2 linked regions of the Drosophila melanogaster genome follow. The protein of the gene in region 1 interacts with the protein of each later gene in a pairwise test. Each region holds a gene or a part of one and is shown on either strand. Other genes may lie near its edges.

Region 1 (5,944 bases):
GTTTGCAATTCGGGCAGCGCGGAGGTAAGTCAAAGTTTGTGTTTTGTTGTTGATATGTTATTTATTAATCTCGACATGCGTTGCACTCGATTAATTTAAAGTTAATATAGAAGTCATACGACATCAGAATCACTATGACAGTAGAACGTCTCAGTCCAGGTAGATGCTATCCAAAGAAATGTATATATATCCAAAAGCAAGGTAAAATATCACAGCAGCATCTTTAGTGACCATATTGATATACAAACAAATTCGACCAAATTCTAATTTGCTGACCTTAGCCGAAACGCCAAGTGCGCATATGGTTGATAACTTGATAACTTTTCGAAATGCGCATGCGGGCATCTATTGCAGGAGGATATGGGAGTGAAATGTCCCGAGCTAAACGGCGCTCCAACTGCTCATTGCGGCCGTTGAGCAAATTCTGCCATATCTGGGCCCGCTTATCCAACTGTTGAGCCTGCACGGCTATCCGTCCATAGGAAACGGGCTCATACGCCAGCTTCAGTTGATCGAGCAGATTGGTGAGCTCTTCAATGGCCTGCTGCAGTTTTCTCATGGCACTGTCATGCATGATGAACGTCTCATCGGCTTTGCTGCCGTATTGACATATATATTTCATCCTGACCCAATTGGACGACGCGATACAATTCTTGCGGCGCAATATTTGCATCTTTAGCATGTCCATAAGTATTTCGGCCAGATCGATGGGTGGCAACTCGGCGGGTATCACCAAGCGGATGGCAAAATAATTGGGCCTACTGTACTTGTCCAGGAAGGTGCTAATCACGCCGTCTTGGGCATTACGCACCGAGCGATAGGGCGGCTTAATGCCGCGAACTGCGCCCAGCAAGCAGTGGTCGATCTTATTGCATCGAACTTTTGACATCGAACCGCGGTTTGTCGTGTAAAAAGCGTGTTAGAAATGTGTTTTATTATACAAGTAAGCTGCAATGGCCGTGTTTGTTATCTAGAAACTTTCTCGGAATGGTAACATACGTGTGTACAGAAAGTTAGCGATTGGCATCGTCACTCACCGTCGTAGTACTGGTAAATTGATTTTGCTTCGTCGAACAGCCCGGCAGAAAAATTTTAAAAAATTATAAAATTTTGCTGTGTAAAAGTAAGAACGAGAACAAAATTTTGTTGTGCTCCCAAAAAAGTAAAAGTACTTAATTATCCGAATCAGGTAGCTACACTTAACTCAATGACTACTGGACGCTTAAATACGTAAACTTTCGTCTCTAAATTTCCTCGCACACTAGATTTGAATTTTCGTTCAGTCGGATATTATCGATAAATCGATTATTGTGGACCACGAATTTTCTGGTATAAATGCGGTAGCAATTTAAGACTTCTCTTACCGGAAAATCTTAAAAAATTAAATGATTACATTTTTTGTTAGTAAAAGCCCGGCGAGAATTTATTAATATTTATACATATACAACTTTTATATTAAAGAGCTCTCGAGCACTCTACCAATTTAAAAAATCAACCGCTTGCTTTATAAATTTAATTATTATTATTAAAAAAAAAAATCATGCAAATACGAGTCGTTAGTTATTAAACTTGGCAAAAGAAACGTATATTTAAAAACCAAATCCCATATGGATGTACTAACAAGTTCGCCAGCCCTGGATTCCTAGGCGCATGTGCTGAATAAAATTTTAGATCACATCTTCCTTGAAAGTTCAGAAAGGATATAGTTCACAATTCGTTCAAAAATTAATATATATATATATAGTTATGCTGTTTCAGTGATACTGTAAACAAATATCAAACGTTAATTCGCACACAAAGCTGCGTTTTCTGACCATTAAAGTACTTCCATTGGATTATAATTATTGATTTTTGTCAAATTCTAAACAACCCCGTGAAAATCAGCAAGAATCTAAAGAAATGGCTTATGTGAGTTTGAAATACCAATATTTATAGGCACTACGGCACTATTTTTGACTAGTTACTAAAGATTTATAATGGTTTCCGTAGATTTTGAAGGCCACCAAATGTCCCACGGACGAGCTTTCGCTGACCAATCGGGCTATAGTGAATGTTGGTGATTTTCCGGAGGAAATCAAGTATGTGGTCCTAACGGGCATAAAAGTCCATTGTTTGTATATATATATATATATAATTCCCACTTGCATCGCTTGCAGATATGCGGACATATCGCCGGCTCCGGGTCAGCACTTCATCTTTGCGCTGGAGAAAACGGTGGAGGTGCCCAGCGGCTATGTTGGCTTCTCCCTGGTCCAACGAAAGTGGGCCATGGTGTCCATTAATCAGGAACTGGAGGTTCGTCCCTATCGCTTTGATGCCAGCTCGGATGTCATCACTTGTGTGTCCTTTGAGACGGACTTTCTGCAGAAGAAGACGTGAGTGCATATATATAGTATACGGCGTCAAGGATATTATGTAATATCGATTGTTATCTACCATCCTATGCAGTGTCTCCCAGGAACCCTATGACTCCGATCAAATGGCCAAGGAGTTCATCATGCAATTCGCCGGAATGGCACTCACCGTTGGCCAATCACTGGTCTTCAATTTCAAGGACAAGAAACTTCTCGGCCTGGCCGTCAAATCCCTAGAGGCCATCGATCCCAAGAGCTTGGGCGAGGGCAAGGACACCGCGATGCGTAATGTCCGCTTCGGCCGCATCCTTGGCAACACCGTGGTGCAGTTCGAGAAGGCCGAGAACAGTTCGCTGAATCTGCAGGGCAAGAGCAAGGGCAAGGTGGTCCGCCAGTCCATTATAAACCCGGATTGGGACTTTGGCAAAATGGGCATCGGTGGCCTGGACAAGGAATTCAATTCGATATTTCGACGAGCCTTCGCATCCCGTGTCTTCCCACCGGAACTGGTCGAGCAGCTGGGCTGCAAGCATGTCAAGGGCATTCTACTTTATGGTCCACCGGGTACGGGCAAAACTCTGATGGCTCGCCAAATCGGAACTATGTTAAACGCCCGGGAGCCGAAAATCGTCAACGGTCCACAGATCCTGGACAAGTACGTGGGCGAATCGGAGGCCAATGTCCGGCGTCTGTTTGCCGAGGCGGAGGAGGAGGAGAAACGCCTGGGTCCCAACAGTGGACTACATATCATCATCTTCGACGAGATCGATGCCATTTGCAAGCAGCGTGGCTCCGTGGCCGGAAATAGTGGTGTCCACGACACCGTCGTCAATCAGTTGCTAACCAAAATCGATGGCGTTGATCAGCTGAACAACATTCTCGTTATCGGCATGACCAATCGCAGGGACATGATCGATGAGGCTTTGCTGCGACCGGGTCGCCTCGAGGTCCAAATGGAGATCAGCCTGCCCAACGAGCAGGGTCGCGTCCAGATTCTCAATATCCACACCAAGCGGATGCGTGAATTCAACAAGATTAACGACGATGTGGACAACAAGGAGATCGCTGCGCTGACCAAGAATTTCAGCGGTGCCGAGCTGGAGGGTTTGGTCCGTGCCGCCCAGTCGAGTGCCATGAACCGACTGATCAAGGCCGATGCCAAGGTGACCGTTGATCCTGAGGCCATGGAAAAGTTAAAGGTCAATCGAGATGATTTCCTGCACTCGCTGGAGCATGACATTAAGCCGGCATTCGGTACGGCCCAGGAGATTCTCGACAATATGCTGGCCCGCGGTGTTATCAACTGGGGAGCACCGGTTAGCAATCTCCTCGAGGACGGCATGCTGTATGTGCAGCAGGCCAAGGCTCCAGAATCTAGCGGCTTGGTCTCCGTACTCGTGGCCGGAGCACCCAACTCTGGCAAGACGGCACTGGCCGCTCAGCTTGCCAAGATGTCAGACTTTCCGTTCGTGAAGGTCTGCTCGCCAGAGGACATGGTCGGCTACACTGAATCGGCCAAGTGCCTGCACATTCGTAAGATCTTCGACGACGCGTATCGTTCCATGCTTAGCTGCATTGTGGTGGACAATGTGGAGCGTCTGCTGGACTACGGATCGATTGGGCCGCGATATTCCAATATGACGCTACAGGCACTGCTGGTGCTGCTCAAGAAACAGCCGCCAAAGGGCCGCAAATTGCTCATATTGTGCACATCTAGCAGGAGGTGTGTGTGTGTTGAGATTCGGGATTTCCCTGTCGAGATTACCCAGTACTTACTACTCCTACTTGTTTTATTTTTTTTTAGGGAGGTCCTGGAAGAGATGGAGATGCTGACGGCCTTCACCTCGGTGCTCCACGTGCCCAATCTTTCCAAGCCCGACCACGTTCTGGCCGTGCTGGAGAACACGGATATCTTTAGCAAGGGCGAAATCCAGGCGATTGGCAAGAAGATGGCCGGAAAACGGTAAGCTATATGATTCCAAAGAAAAAGTCCTATAAATATTTACTAATTTACCTATCCATTTCGACCAGCGTGTTTATTGGCATCAAGAAGCTGCTGGGTCTCATTGACATGGCTAGGCAAACGGAGCAATCACAGCGGGCCATAAAGTTCCTGTCCAAGATGGAAGAGGAGGGTGGTCTCGACATGGTGGCGCGGCAGTAAGGCATCTTAAACTGCATGTGCCCAAATGGAGTCTCAATTATTAGCTTCTAAGTGCTAAGGACGGGCGATGAATAGCGATGAAACCAAATCAGAATCTCAATGTACACGTACATATACACCGCTAAACATATACACAGATATATAGAGTTATATATATATATACGATCCAGGCTTCGCGATGTTTGTTCGGTCCCAAAGCCCAGATAAAAATCACAATCCACATCCCGGAGGAGTTTCGTGTGCTTCTGAGTTCCCCCACAGAGCTCAATCAAATCAGACAGATATGTGAGACCCGTGACCTGAAGATGATGGCATATAAATGACATAATATATGGCTTAAATGGACAGATACTCAATTACATTTATAAATAATTAACACGCGTAGCCACTAACTCGTTAAAGGCATGATAATCTTTCTCGTTACCTTTTAATTTTAGGACTTTTGCTTCAGTAAATTCTCAATAGGAAACGAAAAAACGGGAGAAAACACCAAAGTATTTGCCTTTGGGCATTGTGAACGTTGTTTATCGGTAACTAAACTAATTAAATATTTATTAAATCAAATATTGTTAACCGCCAATGTTATAATTATATCTTGAATAAAGTAAAACAAACTTAAATTCCAATTTTAACTAGCTCGCTTTTTTGCAGTTAAAAAAAAAGAAATATTTTTTAAAGTCGGGAGTATTCTTATTCATGTTTAAAAACCTAGTAATCCCATTCAGCTTGCAACCACAGATTACCATTCTGTATAAATTACTTTGAATTCTGAATTCAAATGAAACAGCAATGAAAATAGAACAAACACATTTTGAAAATTCTCTTGACGATTTCTTTGTTTTATTTCGTTTAGAAAAAGCGACACACAATATTACTCTTAATTGTTTCTTGTTTCTCGTTCCTTGGACTTATTTGTGCAACAATAAACAAAATATAAATATTTGATTTCGTTTTTATTTTGCTAAAACCGTTATTTAACTATTTCTCAGCTTACGGAATTATTCATTATTTTTTCCTTTTTTTTGCAGTGCGCAACAATAATATTTCATCTTGTTAGTAGAATCCTCTTCATAATTCGTGTTTTGGTAAAAAAAAAACAAATTCAGGAAAGATAAAAAAAGGTAAGGTAAGGGGAGATCGCCAATTTGCCAAATTATAAATAGAAAATTAAAATAAAAGCACAGATTTAACACAGAGCGTATTGTAACGCTTTTGGAACCCAAGAAAAATTCGTATATATATATTCCTAAGTAACAGCAATTACGTGGCTTGCATACGAAACAGCTTATGTTCAAAAGTATGTTTTTCAAAAAATCTGCTGTATTGAAAAGAGAAAACAGGTGAATAATAAGAAAATAAAAATGGCAAGGGCATATGCTTCGCTTAGATTAATAGTTACATTTGTGATTTCATTTTTTTTTAAGGA
Region 2 (5,223 bases), on another chromosome or scaffold:
CTCCCCAGATTGCTAGGCGATCCACAGCTTCCGCATGGCGACCTGCGACTATGAGCGCCGTGATGCCCCCATCGCTCCAGCCCAAAATGGAGAAGCGTGGTCTGTCCAGGGCACGCATCAAATCCACGGCTGCCTGGGCATCCTCCCGAAAGAATTCAAGGCCGAACTTGCGCTGCGGCGGCACTGATTTGCCATAACCCGGCGGATCCCAGGCGATGATGGTGTGACCCGGCAGCAGTTTCGGCAGCTGCTCGATCTGGGGCCTAAAGTCGGTCCACGAGGAACCCAGTGCTCCCGGCATCAGGAGTAGACTCCGCTCCCCACTGCCGCTCTCCACAATGTTCAAATCTGAGCCATTCACACGAACTTTCCGCTCCGTGTGCAGCAAGCGCCTGGTGATCGGGGAACGGGCACCCACAAGCCGGCACAGATTGCCCAGCATTACGTAAGCGGGATCTAACGGGGATTTTGGAGTATGGCAACAAACTTAGCTGCTTCTCAAGGGCTCTTCAGATGTCCAGAGAGGAATATTTGGCAAATTCTAATCTTTACACACGACGCCTTGTAAAGTGCACTTGATAAAGATCCGTTGATAACAGCTGATTGATAAGAACAGCTGTAAGTAAACGATCGAATTAGTGTGGCTGTAGGTGCGATGATGCCATATACCGTTAAATCAAAAGTAAATATACCAAAAAACTAATTTTAAAAGAATCGTTAATTTTTTAATAATTTGAAAAATATTTTCATATTGATATTTAGGCATTGGGTGATGCACTTGCATTTTTAAGAATGTTCCTGAAATTTAAAAGATTTTTCCATTCATTTTGAAGAATATTACTTGACAATGCCGAACTCTCCACAGATTTTAAAATAATGGTAGTTTAAAAGCCCTTGAAAGTTCAAGAGCTGCCGCTCAGTTTGATTTTAAGCTTTTCGCTCTTCCCCCAGCTTTTGGCATTCCCAATCTTAGTCCTTGTTAGTCCACTTGAACGTCACGACTCCGAAGGACAATGGACAGCACGTGCTGGCATTTGTTTAGCCTTTAGCGTGCGTTAAAATATTATTAAAAACCGTAAGTGCTTAATAGCAGGATCCTGGTCCCTGCTGTAATGGTCAGTGCGTGATTCGTGTGCTCAAATTAATGTGTTCGCCTGGACTGCGACGACGATTAATGGAGGCGACGGCCTTGCAATTGCTCTCCTAGGACGAAGGAGCAGGGTGATGGGATTTGACAGAGGCAGGACATACACCCACAATCGAGAGTAAGGGACATCACATTCCACTGCCAATGCAAATGCAAATCGAATTCGACTCCGAGATGTCGAAGTTGCGTAGTAAATGTCAAGGAATTTACACGGGTCGTCTCGGAGATAGTGAGCCCGGGGGGGTGTCAGCTTGAGTTGGTGTGTGTGAGTGTGCGTGCGGCCACAGGACACCCACGCACACAGCTGAACATGCATATGTGTGTATCCATGTGAATGTGGCATCTAATACGCTTTAGTGGTGCAGGTTATGAACCTGCGTGCTATTCGCTTATTACGCATGTGTGAGTGGGCAGCTGGTGTCTATGTGTGCGTTTGTGTGTTAGTAGTACACATATGCATGCCTCGTGCGAAGTAAGCGAGCTTTTAATTTTTGGCATTCCCACACACTACACTCAAAGCGTGCGGTGCTTTCCTTTTCCGTAGCACACTTTTTCGGGTAAATCAACAAAGTACCAATATAAACCATTAAATTCAAGATTTCCAGTAATTCTGAACGATTTTAACTTGTCTAAATGTAAAATCAGTAGTGTGAGGTACAAACTCCTTTGTCCAGTTCGATTGTAGTGCCATTTTCGAGTCGCCTAGACCGCACCAGTGGCTTTTTGTGAATAAGCTGGCGGAGCTTTCGTTATCCATTGGAAACAGTGCGAAGAAATTAAGTTTGAAATTGCAGTTCAGTCTTGTCGTGGATGCAGCGCGGATCGATATCGGAGCTAAAAGCAGCGGAAGGCGCTGCTAAGCAAATTTCGACACACAACATTTTTGTATCCCTCGAAATTGAACCGAAAAATCTGCAAAAATAAATTCAACCAACCAACAAAAACGAAAAGGACGCGTCGCGCTAAAATCCAGCCCGAAAAGTTACATAAAGCAGGAGCGACAAGAATATCGTGCAAATTCAAAGGAATAATTGTGTAATTGAAAAATCTGTGTGCAGTCTCTGCAACTAATTTCGTATCCAATCAATAGTTCAATCAATACGCATAAATAACTGATTGCTGTGGAATCAACCGCAGTAAAGCGCCCATTTTAGGGGCACTTGCTGTGAGGTGCTTAGAAAAATTTTCGCCTACATTTGCGATATGCAGTGAAAATTTTTTCCGATTTTTAGTATGTACATGTACGATGGAGCGCTCGTGGGCGCCACAAACTGCGGTGGCAGGGGTATCCGGCGAGCTTTTGGCCCAACCATAACCCCCAGTATTACTAATACAGCCGACTCGGTCGGAGAAACGGTTGTCTGACAAAGTATCGATGCAAAATATGCGCCGTTTTGAATTTAATTGCCAAAAATTATGCAAATCAAGTATACAAAATGCCGAAAACTGAAGGTGCTGAACATTAAGGACCAAAAAAATCAGGCGAAATCATAAGCAATAATCGGTGCAGTGCCGTTAACAGTCGACGTGTACCGTTAACATCCGCAGCCAACTTCGCGTGGCCGAGCTTTCGCTCTCGCGCGCTCTTACGCTCTCTCTTGGCAGGCGCGGATAAAACGGATTGCCGAGTAACACCAACACAAGGACACGCGAAAAGCTCGCGCTCAAGGACTGGAATACGCGACAGAAACACAGCGAGTGAGAGAGAGAGAGAGGGAGAAGGACACTTTACGTTTACGCGCGCAACGTGCGTAGGTGCCTCTGTGTGGGTAAGCCCGAGTGCCACCGTGCGTGTGAATGAAGGCGCCACATAGTGCAACATATCAGGATAACTATGCTGATGCGGCCATGACAGCCAGGACACGGCCAAGCATGGACATGGATCAGCAGCGAAATCGAAATCAGGCGGAGCTGAGGCTCCTGCCCGCCCAGCGCACCTCCACCTCCGCCTTTGAATCCCCCGACTTGCGGTTCAACAAGGCTCGCCGCCGGCGGAGAAGCGAGCAAGTGCCTCCCGTGGTCGTGGAATACCGTCGCTCCTACCGCGTGCTCATCGTCAGCGCCCTGCTGGTCAGTCTGGCGGCCAGTTTCGTGACGCTCAGCGCCGGATTCCAGCTAGATGGATCGCAAAACTCCTTCTACACCTTCCGCAAGTGGTACACCGGACTGAATGGGACCCTCGAACTGGAGTTCAAAACGGAACAGCCCAACGGATTGGTTCTCTACACCGACGACGGCGGCACCTACGACTTCTTCGAACTGAAGCTGGTGGAAGGAGCACTGCGGCTGAGATATAACCTTGGTGGCGGAGCTCAAATCATCACCGTGGGTCGGGAACTGCACGACGGCCACTGGCACAAGGTGCAGGTCCTGCGGAACGATGAGCAGACATCGCTCATCGTGGACGGCGTCTCCCAGCAGCGATCGACCAAGGGGAAGGAGTTCCAGTTCGGCAAGTTCGCGAGCAACTCGGACGTCTATGTGGGCGGTATGCCCAACTGGTACAGCAGCAAGCTGGCCCTGCTCGCCCTGCCATCCGTTATCTTCGAACCGCGTTTCCGTGGCGCCATCCGCAATCTGGTCTACGCGGACCAGCCGGGCGGCTCCACCAGGCGCCAGGAGATCAAGCAGCAGCGCGACATCAAGTGCGGCGATGTGCCCTGCGATCACGGAGAGCTGCCCGCCCGTGAAAGGCCGCTCAGGGTGAGTCCATTAGTCATTGATATACACAATACAACTTTTTATATTCTATTTAAATGATATTGATAATAAGAAAAAAGCCTCTATTTATATGTATCCCTGATTTGGTAAATAATCCTTTAATCCTGCAGGGTGTTCGGGGTGGCAACACAACCGATGCCTGTGAACGGAATGATCCTTGCCAGCACGGCGGCATCTGCATATCCACTGATTCCGGTCCAATTTGCGAGTGTCGAAACCTCGAGTACGATGGCCAGTATTGTGAGAAGGAGAAGGCGCCATCGGAAGCAACGTTCCGCGGTACACAGTTCCTCTCCTACGACTTGGGCCAGACGGGCGCCGAGCCGATAGTGAGCGCCCAGGATGCCATATCCTTCTATTTTCGCACCCGCCAGCCGAACGGTCTGCTTTTCTACACTGGCCACGGCACGGACTATCTAAATCTGGCGCTGCGTGATGGAGGCGTCTCCCTGACCATGGGTCTGGCTAATGGCAAGCAGGAGATGCACATAAAGCCCTCAAAGGTGCGCTTCGACGACCACCAGTGGCACAAAGTCACCGTGCACCGTCGCATTCAGGAGATCTCCTCCATAACCAGCTTCTGTCGGGTGGGTAACTGTTCATAGATTTTCTTGGTTCTTTATTCGAAATGGAGTTTTTTTTATCCCTGTAGCTGGTTACCGTGGTGGATGATGTCTATACGGATCACTCCCACATTGCTGGCAAGTTCACCATGCTCTCCTCCTCGCGGGTTTACGTTGGTGGTGCTGTTAATCCTCGAGCGCTTTTGGGTGCCCGTGTGCACACTAACTTCGTGGGCTGCCTGCGCAAGGTGGAGTTCTCAGCGGATACGCTTAATCTGAACCTCATAGACCTGGCCAAGAGCGGTTCCAAGCTGATCCAGGTTGCTGGCAATCTGGAATATCAGTGCCCCAGTGGCGATCCACAGGATCCCGTGACCTTCACCACTCGCGAATCGCATTTGGTAAGTTGAAACCTGTATGAAAATACGAAAAGTAATGAATTAATATTTGATTGTTATTTTAAAGGTCCTTCCTCCCTGGGAAACTGGCAAGCAGAGTTCTATAAGCTTCAAATTTCGCACCAAAGAACCGAATGGCATCATTGTCCTGGCCACAGGATCCAAGCAACCACGGGCCAAAAACGTGAGTCTACTCATTAGGTTATCTTGAGCCATTTTGCATAATTTGAATCCATCAGCCCGTTTTGATTGCCATTGAGCTGCTGAATGGGCACATCTACATCCATTTGGACCTCGGATCCGGAGCCTCCAAGGTGCGAGCCTCGCGACGTCGCGTGGACGATGGCGACTGGCATGACCTGATTCTTCGGCGGAATGGACGCGACGCCAAGGT

What was found.
Region 2: the proteins of comt (region 1) and Nrx-1 interact in a two-hybrid assay, tested with the Drosophila melanogaster proteins (one study listed by BioGRID).

The regions. Positions count from the first base shown.
Region 1 is NC_004354.4:13,257,347-13,263,290, forward strand, and holds comt (comatose), read left to right. Parts: upstream 1-1,674; 5' UTR 1,675-1,899; coding exon 1,900-1,908; intron 1,909-1,989; coding exon 1,990-2,078; intron 2,079-2,156; coding exon 2,157-2,375; intron 2,376-2,448; coding exon 2,449-4,077; intron 4,078-4,158; coding exon 4,159-4,317; intron 4,318-4,385; coding exon 4,386-4,518; 3' UTR 4,519-5,142; downstream 5,143-5,944. Other genes in the region: CG15742 (uncharacterized protein), read right to left, coding at 278-889. UniProt on the Drosophila melanogaster protein: Required for vesicle-mediated transport. Catalyzes the fusion of transport vesicles within the Golgi cisternae. Is also required for transport from the endoplasmic reticulum to the Golgi stack.
Region 2 is NT_033777.3:22,467,541-22,472,763, forward strand, and holds the start of Nrx-1 (neurexin 1), read left to right. Parts: upstream 1-1,937; 5' UTR 1,938-2,944; coding exon 2,945-3,850; intron 3,851-3,978; coding exon 3,979-4,455; intron 4,456-4,520; coding exon 4,521-4,832; intron 4,833-4,896; coding exon 4,897-5,013; intron 5,014-5,068; coding exon 5,069-5,223. Other genes in the region: CG5377 (uncharacterized protein), read right to left, coding at 1-442. UniProt on the Drosophila melanogaster protein: Neuronal cell adhesion protein involved in synapse formation, development of synaptic active zones, synaptic regulation and visual function. Plays a role in cell adhesion between the pre- and the postsynaptic cell.